4 linked regions of the Sus scrofa genome follow. The protein of the gene in region 1 interacts with the protein of each later gene in a biochemical or structural test. Links are inferred from orthologs where the notes say so. Each region holds a gene or a part of one and is shown in the gene's direction. Other genes may lie near its edges.

Region 1 (4,098 bases):
ACCCCTTAACCTCTTCCACTGCAGAATCCTGCTCCTTCCTCCCGGTTTGGCCTCTGTCCTGGTCACCTGTAGTCCTGGTCACCTGTGAGGGCTGTCCCTCCTTCACAGTCCAACACTCTCCCCACCCCAAAGTCCAATTCCCCTCACCCCATCCACGGACCTCTGAGCTTTTTTCCAATGTGCACAGCCTTCTTGTCTCATTTCTGGCTTTGTTTATCCAAACACAGATCCAACAACACTCAATACTCTGGTCTCTCCCATCATTTCACAGGACTCCAGACCTGCTGGAACCCGACCCAGAGGCAAGAGGGCTGCAGGAGATGCTTCAAGAGGTCAGTGTCAAAAGCCCCCAGGCCCTAGGGGGCCGTCAGCTCTGCACTCTCTTCCCATTTACAACTCTGCCATTCTCTGAGACAGAGGCTTGACCTTTGCTTCAGGCGCCCCAGCCAGTTTTCTCTTCGCCTGTGTCACAGATCTGCCCGCGACACTTGTTTACACACGGCCGTCTCCTCGCATCCTCCTCCCCGACTTCTGGAAGCATTCCTCCAAACCCCTTCACAGTGAGCAGCGGAATCCAAGGACCCTATCTCGCCTCCCGACTCCCTGGCCGCCTCTGCCTCAGCCACCTGGCCCTGGATGCAAAATCCCAGCTTCTCCTCGCCCTCGCCCCGGGCTCTCCCCGAAGAGGGCTCTCCCCGAAAAGGGCCAGCTCCGTCTTCCTCCAGGCCAACTCGTCCCTGCCAGTCTGCACCTGCAGCCCGGTGGCCAGGCCCTCCGTCCTACCGGCCTGCCCTCTCCACCGCCTCCCGCCTCCTTGTTCGGCCGCCGCGCTGCTGGCCCCCGTGCGCAACAACGAACTCAGCTGGCGCGCAGGGCCGTGCCTGAGTCCACCAAGCGCGGACCCAACCTGCAGTACGGCCGCGGAGCCCGGGTCCCCGCAGAAACCGGCACTGAGTGGCCTGGCTCCGCCCGCCGCCCCGCCTGCGCCTCCTGACGGTAGCCCCCCCTCCTCAGCGCGATTGGCCGCGCTTGCCAGGCTTACCGCGAGCTGATTGGTCTTCACGCGGGTCTGTCAGGCTGGGCGCCGCGGCGGCGGCAGCGGCGGCGGCGGAGGAGGCTGGAGCCAGACCGGAAGGGTCCGAGCGCCCCGGCGCCCCTCACACCCACTGCGGCGGCGGCTAGTGGCGGCGGCGGCGGCGGCGGCGGCGGCGTGGCGGAGCGGAGCGGGGCGGGGCGGCTGGCCGAGCCCAGGGCAGCGGAGCCGCGAGCCGCGAGCCACGACCCGCCAGCGCGCAGCGCCGCCAGTCCGCCCGCCTGCCCTCTCCCCCAGGCGCGGCGGCAGGGAGGCGAGGTGAGCCCGGCGGGCGGGCTAGGCCCGGCGGGGACTGCTTGGGCCAAGCCCTGCCTGGGGGGGGCGGCAGGAGGGCCGCGCAGCCAGGGTCCGTGGAGGAGTGGAGGGCGGGGTGGGGAGTTGGGTGTCGCGGGGCCGGCTGACCAGTTCTGAGGAGCCAACCGGGTTCTGCTGGATTCTGGCGACCCTAGTCGCAGCCCCCTGTCTTCCTGGCTGTTGCAGCCGGGAGCTGAGGGCCCGCTCCCAGGTCTGGCCTCGGCCGACCTGCCTTAGGGTCTGTAGGCGCCACCCCTCCCGATTGTTTGGCACGCAGCTGCACACCCGCTTTGGGATGCTCAGAACCCGGGGTCTGGTTCCTGCGACCTTGGCAAAGGCATTGACCCTCGCTATTCCTTGTTTTTTCTCTCGGAAAGTGGGGGAAATGTCTATCCTTTTGGACAGGATTGTTGTCAGACCATATGAATATTTGTAAAAGCGCCTGGGGAAGAGCTCATTGCACATTTGGGGAAAATTGGGCGGGATACTGCCCCTTGCTGGTGCGAGTGTGGCAAGACCCCCCCCCCCCCCGCCCCTTCTGCCCAGAGGCCCCCATCCTCTAGCTCCTCCAGTGCCTCGTCATTGCACACTCATGCCCAGCAACGCCTGAGCGGGCCCTGCCCACCCCCCCCCCAGCTCTCCCCACTCCCCTAACCCAGAGCACTGCTCTCTTAGCCTACCTGTCTTACTTGCTGTAAACAGGCAGCCCTGTTTATCTCAGGACCTTTGCACTGGCTCTTTCCAGCAATTGGCGTTGTCTCTGGGCTCTTGGCACGGCTGGCTCCTTCTGGTCCTTCTTCTGGTCAGATGTCTCATTTTACTAGAGGCCTTCCTTGACCACCCTCTTTCTTCCCTTAGTCATTCTATCTCATGTTGTTTAATTTTCCCCTTAGTATCTGGTTTAAAGCTATTCTATTGATTTGCCTGTTTATTTTCTGTCTCTCCCACTAGGATGTAGCTTTATGAAAACAGGTAGTTGTCTGATTTGTCCACTGCTTTATCCCAGTGCTTAGAAAGCACACAGTAAGTACTTAGTAATACCAGTTCAATGAATGAATGAATGACCCTGCCCACCTGTTGCCTCTGTTCATTTAGTGACTTCTGACTAACTTGTGAAACTTGTATGCAAATGGAAGCTTGCTCTCGTTTTTGTGGAACATTTTTAATGTCCTTGACCCCTTTATTTGGTATCTGTCAGAACAAGCTGTGATATAAAATCTTGCATTTTTATAACGATTTTTAGCTCTAACTTCCTTGCACACATTCAGGAGGCATTTACTGAACTCTGCATTATCTAGGTCAGGTTTTTTGCCCTGGGGACATAAAGCCAATAGCAACAGGGTCCCTTCCTCCAGAGAGCCCAAGAGCCCAGTAAAGAAGGCTGATATGCAGACAGTGCTAGGACAGCTTGCTGTAGAGGAGGGGCTGAGCCATGGAAAGGTGGAGGGGGTGATAAGTGGTCCTGGAGTTGGGCCTTGTACAATGATGAGAAATTTGTCAGGCAAGGGGAGGCAAGAAGTGGGAAAGGGCAGGGAAAGGATTCCTCCCCAATGTGGCTCAGGAATCAGCCTTTGGGGCTAGGTGTAAGAGAGGTTGGAGTTAGAGGGACCCTGGAGAACCAGATCTAGCTCACCCGGTGGTTTTTAAAGTCAGAACTCTACATTTGTATCTGTACTCTCTTGATTTTTAAATGTTAGCAGTAGCTAATTAAAAAATATTTTAAGTGATGTAAACCATGCAACATACAGACCTCATTCAGCTTGGCTGTTGACCTTCTGGGCGGGTTGTGTAGGAGGAAAAGGTTGTAAAGAGCTGGAAAGGTAGCCTGAGGCCAGGGGAGCTAGACCCTGTTTATCCAGGTACTATCACTTAATGTGCCTGGAGCCCTGTGATGGCAGCTATGAAGCCCATTTCTGCATAGGAGGAACCAGAGACTCCCAGAGTTTCAGCAGCCTGTTTCACAGCAGGCAGATGGAAAGTGAAATTTGAACCCAGGTCTCCCCCACCCCACCCCCATCAGCATTCTTTTCTCAGTTCTGAGTTTTCTCTTTTGGCTCTTAATTTGTTCTGGAAGAATAGCATCCAGTCTAAATAATGATTTCCTTCACTTTAACCCTTTTTTTTCCCCTTCAGAAGACTCCTGCAGAGTTAAAAGTAATCCTATTTTGGCATAGTCTTCTCTGAAGAGCTTTGATTCTCCTGAGGATTTAATTTTCGGGAGACCAGGACTTTAAATAATTTGTTGACACATTAAAATGTGTTTATTTGGCCCTTCTAAATAAATGTTAGACAATGCACCTCAATTTGCCCGTTTAAAATAAAATCTTGGAGTTCCCGCCGTGGCGCAGTTAACGAATCCGACGGGGAACCATGAGGTTGTGGGTTCAGTCCCTGCCCTTGCTCAGTGGGTTAACGATCCGGCGTTGCTGCGAGCTGTGTATAGGTTGCAGATGCGGCTCGGATCCCGCGTTGCTGTGGCTCTGGTGTAGGCCGGTGGCTGCAGCTCCGATTCGACCCCTAGCCTGGGAACCTCCATATGCCGCGGGAACAGCCCAAGAAATAGCAAAAAAAAAAAAAAAAAAAAAAAAAAGGACCAAATAAATAAATAAATAAAATAAAATAAAATCTTAATTTTCTGGATAAAGAAAAGTGCCGTATGTATTAATTAATAGTAAACCATTTGTTTTCATGATGCATAAGGTAAAACAAAA
Region 2 (4,107 bases), about 12 Mb from region 1:
GCCCTGACAGGCCAGCCACACACAAACCCACAGCCAACCAGACACACATGCGCCCTTGGACCTTGCTTAGGTGCTGTGAGGCTCTGGGCTTCCCAGCCCATATCTCTAACCCCACCCAGAAATCCTGGTGCTTCCTCTCTCCAACATTGTCACCCCCCACACTGTTTGTCACTTCCCCTAGGAGGCCCAGTTCAACAGCCTCAGGCTTTCATAGGGTGTGGGCCTATTTTCTCAGCACATCCCCTGAAAATGAGGTACCCAGGATCTCAGCCAGGCTCAGGCCCCCCAAGACTTCACCAGCAGCATGGAGGGGGGGTGACAGAAACAGCTTTGTGGGAAACTCCCCTCGTGCCCAGCTGAGTCAGCCTGAGGAGACAAACTCTCCTCTCCTTCCTGCTTCCAAGAAAACTGAGCAGCTTCCTCTCCAGGAGAGGGGTGAGGGACCCCCCAAACCACAGAGATTGGGTAGGGAAGCTGCTGGCAAGCCAGGGTTCCTGGGGGGAGGGCCTCCGTGATTCTCAGCCTTTTCCTGCCAGCTGCCTGTCCACACCCAGGGGCAGGGACGAGGGAGTCTGGGTGCTGTGACTTGCGGGTTCTCGCCCTGGCCTGCCCACTGGCTGACTCACCAGCAGCCCCCAGCCCAGTTTTCTATTAAGGGCCCTGCCAGCCAGTGGAGCCGGCTGTGTGTGTGGGGGGGGGGGTGGGGGGGTGTCACCAGGCTATTTATAAGAAGGAGAAGTCCCTCCTGCCAAGGCCAAAAGCCCCAGAGAGACCTGTGGGTGGGGGTGGGAGAACTTCCTCCTTATCCAGTCCCCTAGGCCCCCGGGCCCTGGGCATGAGGGAAGCCTGGACACAGACTCCTTGGGCAGATGCTGGTCTGGAACCCAGGGCCTGGGCAGTCCCCAGCTGCTAGTCTGGGCACCCAGGGCTGATGGAGGAGGGGGCTCTCCTCTCTGGGCCAGCCTTGGCGCCAGTGGGACGGCGTGAGGGGGTGGTGCCCAGGCCACAAGGGTGAGACTGGCAGGGGCCTGGAACCGGCTGTACCAGCTCAGCTGGGCCCCCGCCCTCCCTCACTGGCCCATCCCCACCCCCTGCTCAAACACCCGTGCAGAGTGCAGAGAGTGACCCGACCCCACTCCAACATGCCGGCCTGCCCCCAAACACACTAGCACCCCTCTGCCCTGTGCCCAACCCTGTTTGTCTAAAGGATAAAGGAGACCTTTTTTTTTTCTCTTTCTTTTTCGGGACCCAGGTGTGGCATATGGACGTTCCCAGGCTAGGGGTCGAATCAGAGCTACAACTGCCGGCCGGCCTACACCACAGTCACAGCGATGCCGGCTCCGAGCCACTTCTGCGACCTACGCTACAGCACAGGGCAACTCTGGACATCCTCATGGATACTAGTCGGGTTCTTTTCTGCTAAGTCTCTATAGGAATTCCAGGAGACTCTTCTTGAAAGGGCCTGCAGAACTTGACAAACAGCTGGCACTGCATAAATGCCTCTCTAGTTGTGATTATCCACACAAAAAGAGCTGAAATTCTGGAGTCAGACATCTCAAGTTCTAGATCAATTCCAGTGCTTATAGCTATGTGACATGGGGCAAAGTTCCTTACCTTTCTGTTCCTAAGTTTTTTAGTCTGTTAAATGGGGATACAAAGAGCATGCATTTCGCTGGATTGTTGGAAACAGGCAATGAGTTATTCCATGTAAACCACTTAGAAGAGTGCCTGGCCCATGGTAAGAGCCATATAAGTGTTAGCTATTAAAATAATAATTATTATTTCTCAGTCTGTTGGCCTGTCTCAAGAGTCTCTGAGTTTGCATGACTCTAATCTTGCATCTCTCCCTGCCCTGACCCCCACCCCCATACATCCACTTTTCCTTGCTCAGGCCTTGCCCTCCATCTCTACGCTCATGGGCCAGTCTTGCCTCTCTCCAAGGCTCCCCTGGCACAGCCAGCTTCAGCACTGGTCAGGGATGACTCACTGTGTACTCCTAGCCTGTGGGACCTGCAGGTTAGCCTCCTGAGATGCTGCCCTCCAACCAGACCTGCCCAGCCCCCCAACACTACCCCGTTGCGCCCCCGCAGGGCCCAGCCAGATGTCAGCTGCAGTTATTAGCATGGGCGGGAGACACAGGCCTGGCAGCATGCCTGCCAGACTCAGCGGCCACTGGAATCTCCCTTGAGCCTGGGGAGGGGGAGGGGAGCAGTTCAAGCAAAGGAGGAGGGGAGGGGGTACCCAGAGGTCACAAGGACCCTCCAAAGATGGGGACACCCCCAGCTTCTCATGGGACCTTCCTCCCCAACACCACCACCGGCTCTGCTGGACTTCCCCCTGCCCCCACATAGCTCAGTTTCTCTTTCGCCTCTTTCGTTTTCCTTCTCTCCTCCACACTTGGTGAGCTGTGTCTGCCCTACAAAGGCTGGCTATCTCCTCTCCCTCAGCCTAAGTCTACCCTAAAGAAACTTCCATGTTTCCAAAAGATAGACATGTCTCTTTCAAGACAGAGAGGAGACAGATACTGAGAGGCTCATCTCTGGTTCTAGTGGCTCATAGCCTACCTCCTGGAAGTCCCACCTTAAGTATAACTAAAGCCTCAGCATCTAAACCTTCACCCATTTTGGGGAAGAGGCTCTGGAGAGGTTCCCTCAGATTCGACTCATGGATTTTCAGGTCCTCTCTGTCAGCAGGGGAAGGGAGCCCTCAGATGAGGGAGTGTGGATCCCCCTTTGGGTATTCTGGATGGTGAGGAGACCCTCACACTAAAATAGGAGTAGGGCCTCTCACCCACGTGAGTGAAGGAGGAAGCACCCCAGCCCCTAGGGATGTATTTGGGGAAGGACCCCAGATCTCCTGGCAGAAAGTAAGGGCACCCAGCATGAGGTAGGAGGCCGTCGTGCCCGCCCGCCCAGGCGCCGGGGTCGCCCAGAGGCATTGGCGCGCCCCTTCTGCGCCCATCGGGCCGGGGGCGAAGTCCGACCCAGGCCCGCGGGCAGGCGCGGACCTGCCAGGCTGGGTCGGGCTGGGCAGGGCCTGGCAGGACGCGGCCCCAGAGCGGCTGGGTGGGGCTGGGCCAGGAGGCCGTGGGGGCCCCGGGGGCGGCGGTCGGGGCTGGTCGGGACTAGCCGTCTGGGGGCCCGGGCGCGCCCTGGGACCTGGCAGATACTCGGGCTCCCGGCTCCTGGCCGGGGGCCCCGGGACAGTGCTGACCCCACCCCTTCCTGTGCCCTTATATGGGCGTCAGAGAGAGACTCCGGGGGCCGCCCCGCCCCCAGTCCTGCCTGCGGACTCCGGCCTGTTGCCTTGGCGACCAGGCCCCGCTCCCCGGCGCGTCCCCCTCCGTCCGGCTAATGGAACCGTCCCCGGATTGCTAGCCTTTACGACACTAGGGCTGAACCACTGCAGGGGTGGGGGTCGATGACTGGGGACCTCTGCGGTTGGGTGTGTTCCGCTCGCTCTGACTTCCTCGGGGGTCGCAAGCCCAGGTTCCTCTTCCGAGGCGCAGGACCCGGCTGGACCCAGGGCGGGGCATATGGTCCCGTAGGATTCGAGTGACGGAGGCAGGGCCCGGCTCCTTCCCCCGGGGCTGTTGCCACACTTCCTGCCGCGGCGCTCTTTCCCCAGCCTGTTTCTAAGGAAGAGTGGGGTTGGGCGACCGCGCCCCGGCCGTCAGGCTGGGTCCAGGCACCAGGAGTCTTCACGGTGTCGGTCAAGCCGAGGATCACTGGGGGAGGGCTTTGGGGGTGGGGAGAGAGTATACTGGAACTTAGAGGTCACTCACGAGAGGGGGCGCCCATCATGGAAGATCTAGCAGTCCAGGTATCCTGGATCCTCAAAGACCCTTCCTCCCATGTTTCAGCCAGGGCCCCTCCCTTAGTGTCATCCCAGCTCCGAGGGGGTGCCCCGACCCTTCTAATTCTTTTTCATCGGGGCTTCGCAGTTGACCCCAATGACCCCTAGCCTCTGACAACGTCCCAGTCTTCTACCCCACATATTTTCCTTGACTCAGTGTACCCCAGAACCCTCACTTTTTCTGCTTATCTGGGTCCCCCCAGTTCCTTACTCTTCCCATGTAGGGGGCTCTCAGTCTCATGGATCCCAAGA
Region 3 (4,085 bases), on another chromosome or scaffold:
CAGTGGGCTCTTGATCAGGATTCATGCCATCTGTGTGGCTGCCAAGGCTGAAAGTGTCAGTCTTAGGTTCATGGTGTCCTCAGACCTCACTGAAAGGAAATGCAAATCAGGTGGCTAAAAGTGGGAGAAATAAGGGCCTATGGGAACTGGCAGAGTACAGGCGTTTTCGTCGTGGTGCAGCGCTAACGCATCCCACTAGGATCCACAAGGATGCAGGTTCAAACCCTGGCCTTGCTCAGTGGGTTAAGGATCCAGCGTTGCTGTGAGCAGTGGTGTAGGTTATAGATGCGGCTTGGATCTGGTGTGGCTGTAGCTGTGGTGTAGGGTGGTAGCTGTACCTCCAATTGGACCCCTGGCCTGGGAACCTCCGTATGCCGCGGGTGCTGCCCTAATCACAAACCAACAAAAAAATCTGGTAGAGTCTAAGGAAAATCAAATAGGACAAGTGGAAGTTAACATGTAACCACAGAAGAGTTCCTGCTGGGGCATCACAGGATTGGTGGAGTCAGGAGTGCTGGGACGCAGGTTCCATCCCTGGCCAGTGGGTTAAGGATTCGGTGTTGCCATAGCTGTGGCTTAGGTCTCGACTGCCTCTTGGATCTGATACCTGGCCCAGGAACTCCACATGCCATGGGGCGGCCAAAAATGAAGAAAAAAAAAAAAGTGAAATGGTAGATGGAGTCCTGTGGTGGCACAGCAGGTTGAGGATTGGGCACGGTCACTGCTGTGGTGCAGGTTTTATCCCTGACCTGGCGACTTCCACACGCTGAGGGTGTGGCCAAACAAAAATATATATCTATCGAAATGAACTCAGTGTGTGGGTTAGATGACGCATTGGTGAAATGAAACTGAAATCTGCATAAGTTACACAAAATCAAGACACCGAAGTGGAGTAAATGAGCGTTTGTTGCTGGATCTTAGGATGAGACTGGAACCCCAGAGGGGACAAGTGAAGGGCAGAGAGCTCTGAACACCTACCGTGTAGGCGTGCGTACTGCGGTGACGCTGCAAAGGCAAGTCAGAGGACAGCCAGGTCAGCATCCTGGACACCTCAGGAGGGAGGGGACAGGCGCCCAAAGATAATGGCCCTTCCCTCGGGGCGGGGGGAGGGGGCACGCGGATGCTCGCCCAAGTCCAGGCCGTACGGAAGCATTTGTGCACACTGCGCGGACGCGCGGCCCCTGGTAAAAATCTACGCCGTCAGCGTCGCGGGAGCTGACCGACAGCGGCTCTGACAAGCCTGCCGGAAGCGTTCCCTGCCCAGCTTCCGGCCGGAGACGGACTTCCTCCTACGTCAGGGCACCTGCGACCCCTAGCGGCGGGGCGCCGGCGGGACGGGCGGGCACCGCCCTCGCTGTCTGGAGGGCGGGACTTCCGGGCGGCGGGACTTCCGGCTGCTGAGTGACGGGCGCAGCATCAGCATCGGCGGCGGCAGCGGCTGAGCCCTGAGGCAACAGCGGCTGCGGCGGAGGCGACGGGCTGCGGCCTGCGGACTCACGGGCAGCCGGGGCGGGCGAACGCGCCGGCGGACAGCAGGCCGCGCTGGCGGCGGCGGTGGCCGCGATGATGGAGATCCAGATGGACGAGGGCGGCGGCGTGGTCGTGTACCAGGATGACTACTGCTCCGGCTCGGTGATGTCGGAGCGGGTGTCGGGCCTGGCGGGCTCCATCTACCGCGAGTTCGAGCGCCTCATCCACTGCTATGACGAGGAGGTGGTCAAAGAGCTTATGCCGCTCGTGGTCAACGTGCTCGAGAACCTGGACTCCGTGCTCAGCGAGAACCAGGAGCACGAGGTGGAGCTGGAGCTACTGCGCGAGGACAACGAACAGCTGCTCACCCAGTACGAGCGGGAGAAGGCTCTGCGCAAGCAGGCCGAAGAGGTGCGTGGGCCGGGCCGCGCGGGGGACCCTCGCCCCGCCCGTGGGCCCCGCCCTCAGCCCCCGCCCTGGCGGGGCCCGACTCCCGCCCCGCCCACCCAGCCAAGCCCCCCGGGGCACCCCCCCCGCCGGGCCCAGGGGCTGAGCCCTGGCTCCCCCTTCCTCCCGGCCCGCTGCTCCAGCCAGGAGCCCTGACCCCTAAACCACCTGGCGTCACGGGGGAGAGCTTGCAGCGCGAAGGGTCTCAGGCCCCAGTGTCCCATCCTTACCCACCTCTCATCCCAAACGCCAGGTCTTTTTGCTTTTGTGTGTGTGTTTCGCAAACGTTTCCTAGACTCCAGGTTGCTGCCGTTTTAAAGTCTCCGAGAAAAAGGAGGTTTCTGATCTTACGGTTCTGCAGCCAGAGGCTGTCCGTTGTCAGATCTGTGCCTTGTCTCTGGGCCGGTGTTTTGAAGGTCTGTGACCCGGGCGAGTTTAAGGATGGATATGAACACAGAACCAAAGCCTCGCTGGCACCTGGTGAAAGACCTCAAGTTTATGGAGGTGGTTTCTTTCCCCTGCGTTGCCCTCCCTTGGGGAGGTTGTTAGCTTCTGTGAAAAGGCTGAGAAATTGCACTGTGGCTTCCGAGGAGTTAAAAGGAGAATTTGGAAAGAGTGTATTCTGTCCTAGATATTCTATCTTCCTAAATTGGACGTCATGTCTTTGTGAGCCACTTAGAAGAACCACACGCATTGTAAGGAACCCCACTTACCTTCATTCATTCACCGTCATTTCACGCTCTATGCCAGACCTAGGCGGGTCCGGGGATGTGGGCTCTCGTCCCTGCTTTTTGCCTCTGTGACCTTGTCCACGGCGCCTCTCTGCCCCGGATTTTGCATTTCCGTCCGTCCTGTAGTCACTCGCCCTAGATGATCTCTGAGCCCTGACATTCTGTGCCACCCGTCATTGGGTGATGCTTTTCCATTGAGGAATAGGAAGTTTCTTACTACATGTGCTAAATTCCCCTGTAATTAATTTGGGTCAACACCTTCTTGACTTGAGTATTGAAGTGGATTGTTCCAGTGTTTCGACTTTTTCTCGAGCCCAAGCAGTGGGTGGCCTGGTTTGGTTTAAGTGTGTGTGTGCGTGAACGTTGTCTTGTGTCATTCTTGCTTCCGGGGACCCACTGGCTCTTGGGTTTTGTGCATCTGTCAAAGGACGGTTGCCTGCTGGGGCTCACAACTGAAGGGGATGCCCAAGCTTGTAGGATTTCGGAGTTCACGGTGGCCCTAGGCATTTCCTGGGGAAAGAACAGGGGGCGCCGGGGGGGGGGGGGGGGGGGGGGGGGGAGGGGTCCCAGGTCACATGCCCCGGAAGGACCAGGCGGGGACCCAGTGTGGCCTGACCCCTGGCGTGAGCTCTTCCATGATGCCGCTGTGGGCGGTCAGAAGCCTGACGCGCCGGGCTCCCCTCCCCTCCCCCCGGGCAGTGCCGCCCATTTTGGCCTGTCCTCAGCAGCCATCTGATGCCTCACGGTGGGTTTCAGGAGGGTTTCCTGCGTCCCGTGCCCGTGTGGTCCGTATAGTGGCCTGGAAGGAAGTCCGGGGAGAAGGATGGACGGCCTTAAGGCTGAGAACCCTCACCTTCCGACTTCACCCTCAGCTCTGGGTGGGCGAGGCCGCGCTCTGCTCCGTGCAGTCCAGGGGCAGCCCCAGCCGAGTGGGCCCCTGGCCGCCCGGTCGCACCCGGGGCCTGAGAGCTGAGCAGTCTGGAGGAGACTGGCTCCCTGCCTCCGCTGTTGAGAGAGGCGGAGCCGCGAGCCCCGGAGCGGACCCGGTTTGGCAGGCCGGCCAGAGGCTGTGATGTGACACTAACGGTGCCCTTAGAGAGACCTCCCGTGTGGCCGAGTCCCGCCACCGGGTCGGCATCCTGGCTCACTTTCCGCGTCCAGCAGACGCCCCTCTCCTGTTCCGTGGAAGAGACCGGTCGGGGGCGGGGGGGGGGTGCTTTTCCAGACACAGGGGCAGAACGGCCTGGCCTGGCAGTGGCTCCTGGCGCCCTGGCCGGTCTGCTTGGGAAGGCGTTTTCAGAGGCCGTAACCCGAACCGCCTGCAGCCTCTGAGTGCGCGCAAGCTGCAGGCTAAAGAAGAGCCGGGAGCAGAGCAAGCACCCCTGCCCCTGCGGCACGCCCGCGATAGGCTCAGCGAGAGGCTGGTGCCTGTGTTCT
Region 4 (4,312 bases), on another chromosome or scaffold:
GCCATTAAAAAAATAGTAAGAAAAATATACTAAATCCATGTGAATAAAGAAAATCATCAATTACTTGCTTTTTGTATTAATCTACAGCATACAATATTGCTTTAAAAAAAAAAAAGAATATCAGAGCTATGCAGGGAGTTCCCATTGTGGCTCAGCAGGTTAAGAACCAGACTAGTATCCTATGAGGATTTGGGTTTGATCCCTGGCCTTGCTCAGTGGAGTAAGGATCCAGCATTGCTGCAAGCTGTGGTGTAGGCCAGCAGCTATAGCTCCCACTCAACCCCTAGCCTGGGAACTTCCATATGCCAAGTGTGCGGACCTAAAAAAAAAAAAGAAGAAGAATATAACAGCTATGTAAATTAAAGCTTTAAGACAAATTCCCACCCTCCTATGACAAGATGGCTGTCCCTAAGCCCTTCTAAACTTAAACTCCCACTGCCAGGGTTTAAATTAGATGTTGGGCAGAACAAGTTAAGGACAAAGCCTAGATGCTGGCTGACTGAGAGAATGAAAGCCTCTGGCCACTTTCAGTCTGAGGCATGTTATCCAGGTGAGAATCTCCCGCCAGCACCTGGAAATTCAAATCTCAAGCTCTATTTACAGTAATAAGGATGTTTCACAAAGAAGATAAAAATAACTGTATATGTGAAAATGCTCTGTAATGTGGTAAGTGCCATTTGAAACTTGATCTAATTTAAGATTTTATTCTTGGGTTACAGTTAGATTTGAATGCTCCTTGTTAAAACACTCCCCCCCCCAAAAAACACCCAAATGTGCACTGCCTAATTATAATCAGGTTAGCCAGGTTTAAGTAGATTTACTAAGGAAAGAATTCACCTTGATCAATAACAAAAAAGGTGGAACAAAAGCAGGTTGAAGGGAAACAGACACGAGGAAACTGATCTCCAACAAGGGGAAATTCAGGAGAGGGTCAGGGTGCCAGTGGGCAAGCCTGGGGGAAGTTTTTGAGGACCTGCGTGTACTGTCTGGAGAGCCGGCCACGTGAAAAACTGCCCAGGACCTTTCTGAGACAGGACATCACTCCGGAGCAAAAAAAGGGGCTGCGGATCTGGAGGCGGCGGAGCACCCAGCGTCTCCTTTAACCCAGAGGGCAACCAAGCCTCGCTTCCTAGGGAGGAGACCCCTAAGACAAAACAAAGACTCCAGCCGTGAGAGGAGACCCAATGTGCGCTTGCGCCAAGAAGCGCGCGTGCGCGTGGCTGTCAGCTCCGCAGCACAAGGCATGGGAGGAAGGGAGACCCGGGAAGGGAAGTGCCGAGAGGAGAGAGCCGGGAGGCGGGGAAGGGTCGATTGGTAGGGCGCTCACGCGCGCCCACTGGTGGCCGGAGGAGAATACGCCTGCGGAGGCCTCAGGGCCCCGCCCCTCCCCTGGGGAGGCTCGCGCTCCCGCCGCTCGCGCCTGCGCCGCCCGCCGGCCTCGGGAGCGCGCCCTCTTGGCGGTGCGCGCGCTCGCAGTCTCCGCCACCCACCAGCTCAGGCACCAGCAGCAGCGCCGCCGTCGCCGCCGCCCACCTTCTGTCGCCGCCACCACAGCCACTTGACTGTTTTCCTCTGGTGTCCTCGCCCTCTGTCGACTATCAGGTAAGTGCGAGGCTCCGAAATCTGCCTCCCCCTCTGCCCTCCTGCACTCCCATGCCGCCGCCCCTCGCCCCAGAGATGGGTTTCCTGAGGTGAATTTTGGTCGGGGGCAACCGCCGGGGCCCCTCCTTGCCCCTTCTGCGTTGGGGCTCGGGATTAGGGCGACTTGGAAAGGGACCCGTGCAAGGGATGCATGGGTGTGCGTGTGTGTGTCCTGAGGGGGTCTGCACGACCCGTTGCGAGCGGACCCGGACAGAGGTTTTGCCCACAGGGTGGGGCGCGGATGGCGGTGACCTGGGGGAGGGGGCTGCAATGCATTCTCGAATACAGCCTTTTGCAGTAATAGGAGTGTGACTTTGTGGGTGTGGGGGGTGTTCAATGACGACCCCCCAAACCGAACCTCTAATCTGATTTCTCTGCCTCGGTTTGCCATCAGCTCTAAGGAAGGTATTGATCGGGTTCTAGGAAAGATGACTCCCTGCCTGCCCCTCCCTACACCTCCCCGGCAGCTATTCCAATGGGGCTTTCGCTGTCCCAGGTTTAAGGCGGTGGCCCACCCCTTCCCCGTTTTCCTCCTTCAGAAACCCGCAGGGGACATTTGGGGGCTGGGAGTGGAATCAGGGAGATGGGGAGGGGTCCCGGTGCTGTCACTTTAGTTGCCCTTCCCCCTGCGCGCGCCTGGCACCCAGACTCGAGCAGCGCCGCGCCCGAGAGAAGGTAGTGCGCGGATCTCAATGTGGAGGTGCGGAACGGCAGGGGTCACCTGGCCTTGCGATGTGGAAGGGCTCGGCAGCCGCGGATCCCAGCTCGAGGGCGCGCACAGCCGCAGCCCCGCACAGACGCGCGCGGGGGCTGCAGGTGCATTTCGGGGCGGGCCCCTTTCTCTGCGCTCTGCGCTCTGCGCTGGCGGACCGGCGTGTGCGCTCCCTGCCGGAGGCGCCCGGCTGGCGCGCAGGGCTCGCCCCTCACTGCGGCAGTGGGTGTGGACCCGGGTGGGCGAGGAGGGGGTGGGTAGGCCGAGCCTCCTCCCACTTCCACCCTTGCTTTTTTCCCCTCCGAACGCGAGGTGCCATCTTTTTGCGGCGTGTCATGTCTTTATAGTACCGTGCCAAGCCGAGCGGCTCGGCTTCGGAGGACAGGGCGAAGACTGTCATTGACGGGGAGGGGGCAATTAGCGCTGAAATCTTGGATTTTGCTGCTGCGGGCTTGAGCACTGGGGGAGTTCACCCAGGATTTTCCTTGGGGGCTCGGTGCTTTGTTTGTAGGGTTTACGTGATCTGCCTTGCCAGCCCTAGTTTTTGGCTCTTATTCTATGAGGGTGTTTAATCGAGGCCCCCACCCCTCCTCCCGCTTTTTGCCCCTCATTTCTGAGCCCTTTGTTAGATCTTGGCGCTCGCTGGGGTCGAGGAACTCGAGTCAGCCCCGAGGGCACGCAGGGAACGGGCGTGACCCCGCGAGCCCCTCTCCCAAAGCGGGGCTGCGCGCCAGGAAGCACCTGAGGGCCGAAGGGATGGACGCGAGTTGCGGGTGGCCACAGAGGGACGATGCCCCTCCCCATACTTGGAGCGTCCTGGGGGCGACGCCTCGCCAGGGAGCGCCGGCGACCCCCGGTGGGAGAAGCGGGGTGCAGGGGTGGGGGTTGCCCACTTCGCTTCACGTCCTGTTGCTTCACCAGGCGGGAGAATGTGAGGAGGGGGCATGAGGTGCTGCGGGCCACACCCTTTTATCAAAAGGCCTGGGAGGGGGTCGCAGGGGGAGGTTGTCATGGAGACCACCCGCACCCTGGGGACAGACCTTGGGGCGTTGCCCCGCCCCTGCCCAGCAGAGATAGAGAACCTAGGGATAGGCCCTGCCCCTCTGGCTCCAGGAGAACACAGGAGGGGGACCTCCCACCCCTTAACCCGTGGCTCTTCCAAATTGGACTCCTGCGGCCGCAACCACCAGGAAAGGCATCTTTCATGTATTTTTATTATTATAGTCGAATATTATTTTAGAACCGTGAGAGATTTTCATTTGAGAGCCCGAGTTCGCCGCCACCTTGAAACCCGGAGGCGGAGTGAGGTGGGGGAAGTAGGAAGGCGGGTAAGATCCTGGCGAACAAATCCGAGCCTCACCCTCTTTCCATTAGCTGGGTCCTGGCGGCTTTCTGGTTAATTCTATCGCTGGAAAGTGGTGCGGGGGCGCAGTTCTGAGATTCATGAGCATTTAAGGGAACACACCATCCTCTCGAGCCGCGCAGATTGATCTAAACATGCGGGGAATGACTTGGCTCGGGGTCGAGAGCCCCCCAGGGGCCAGGCCGAACCTTCCCTTGGCTTCGGGATCGGATCGGAGCGAGCTTTCCTGGGATCGGATCGGAGCGAGCTTTCCTGCAGAGCTGGGCTCGGCAGGGGCAGGTTGGAGAGAGGTTCAAGGATCAATTCGAGCATCTTCCCCCCGCCCCATAGAGCTAGACAAGAGATTCTGGTTCTAGACAGAGCTAGGGTCTAGACAGAGCTAGCAGACCTGGGAACAGGGAGCCCGCAGCCTCCGCTGCCTGGGATGGACCGCAGGCGAAGACAGCATCTCCTATCCGTTGTTGGGAAGGAGCGCATCATGGCAAGCGCGTTTAGCCCAGTGCTGGGAACAAAGCGCAGTATAGGCGTCCGCTATTTTACCCAATTTTGAAATGTATTGGCGGTTTGGTGGGGCTCTCGGGTCGGCAAGGCCGGGG

The links. The genes of interacting proteins can lie anywhere in the genome.
Region 2: the proteins of MAPK9 (region 1) and JUNB form a complex in vitro, tested with the Homo sapiens proteins (2 studies listed by BioGRID). The link is inferred for Sus scrofa from reciprocal best matches to the Homo sapiens genes MAPK9 and JUNB.
Region 3: the proteins of MAPK9 (region 1) and MAPK8IP3 form a complex in vitro, tested with the Homo sapiens proteins (2 studies listed by BioGRID). The link is inferred for Sus scrofa from reciprocal best matches to the Homo sapiens genes MAPK9 and MAPK8IP3.
Region 4: of the proteins of MAPK9 (region 1) and MAPT, one has a biochemical effect on the other in vitro, tested with the Homo sapiens proteins (2 studies listed by BioGRID). The link is inferred for Sus scrofa from reciprocal best matches to the Homo sapiens genes MAPK9 and MAPT.

Annotation. Positions count from the first base shown.
Region 1 is NC_010444.4:78,337,273-78,341,370, forward strand, and holds the start of MAPK9 (mitogen-activated protein kinase 9), read left to right. Parts: upstream 1-1,193; 5' UTR 1,194-1,351; intron 1,352-2,338; exon of another isoform or gene 2,339-2,410; intron 2,411-4,098. UniProt on the Homo sapiens protein: Serine/threonine-protein kinase involved in various processes such as cell proliferation, differentiation, migration, transformation and programmed cell death.
Region 2 is NC_010444.4:66,216,576-66,220,682, reverse strand, and holds the start of JUNB (transcription factor jun-B), read left to right. Parts: upstream 1-1,247; 5' UTR 1,248-4,107. UniProt on the Homo sapiens protein: Transcription factor involved in regulating gene activity following the primary growth factor response. Binds to the DNA sequence 5'-TGA[GC]TCA-3'.
Region 3 is NC_010445.4:40,238,592-40,242,676, reverse strand, and holds the start of MAPK8IP3 (C-Jun-amino-terminal kinase-interacting protein 3), read left to right. Parts: upstream 1-1,225; 5' UTR 1,226-1,563; coding exon 1,564-1,881; intron 1,882-4,085.
Region 4 is NC_010454.4:17,208,531-17,212,842, reverse strand, and holds the start of MAPT (microtubule-associated protein tau), read left to right. Parts: upstream 1-1,452; 5' UTR 1,453-1,602; intron 1,603-4,312. UniProt on the Homo sapiens protein: Promotes microtubule assembly and stability, and might be involved in the establishment and maintenance of neuronal polarity.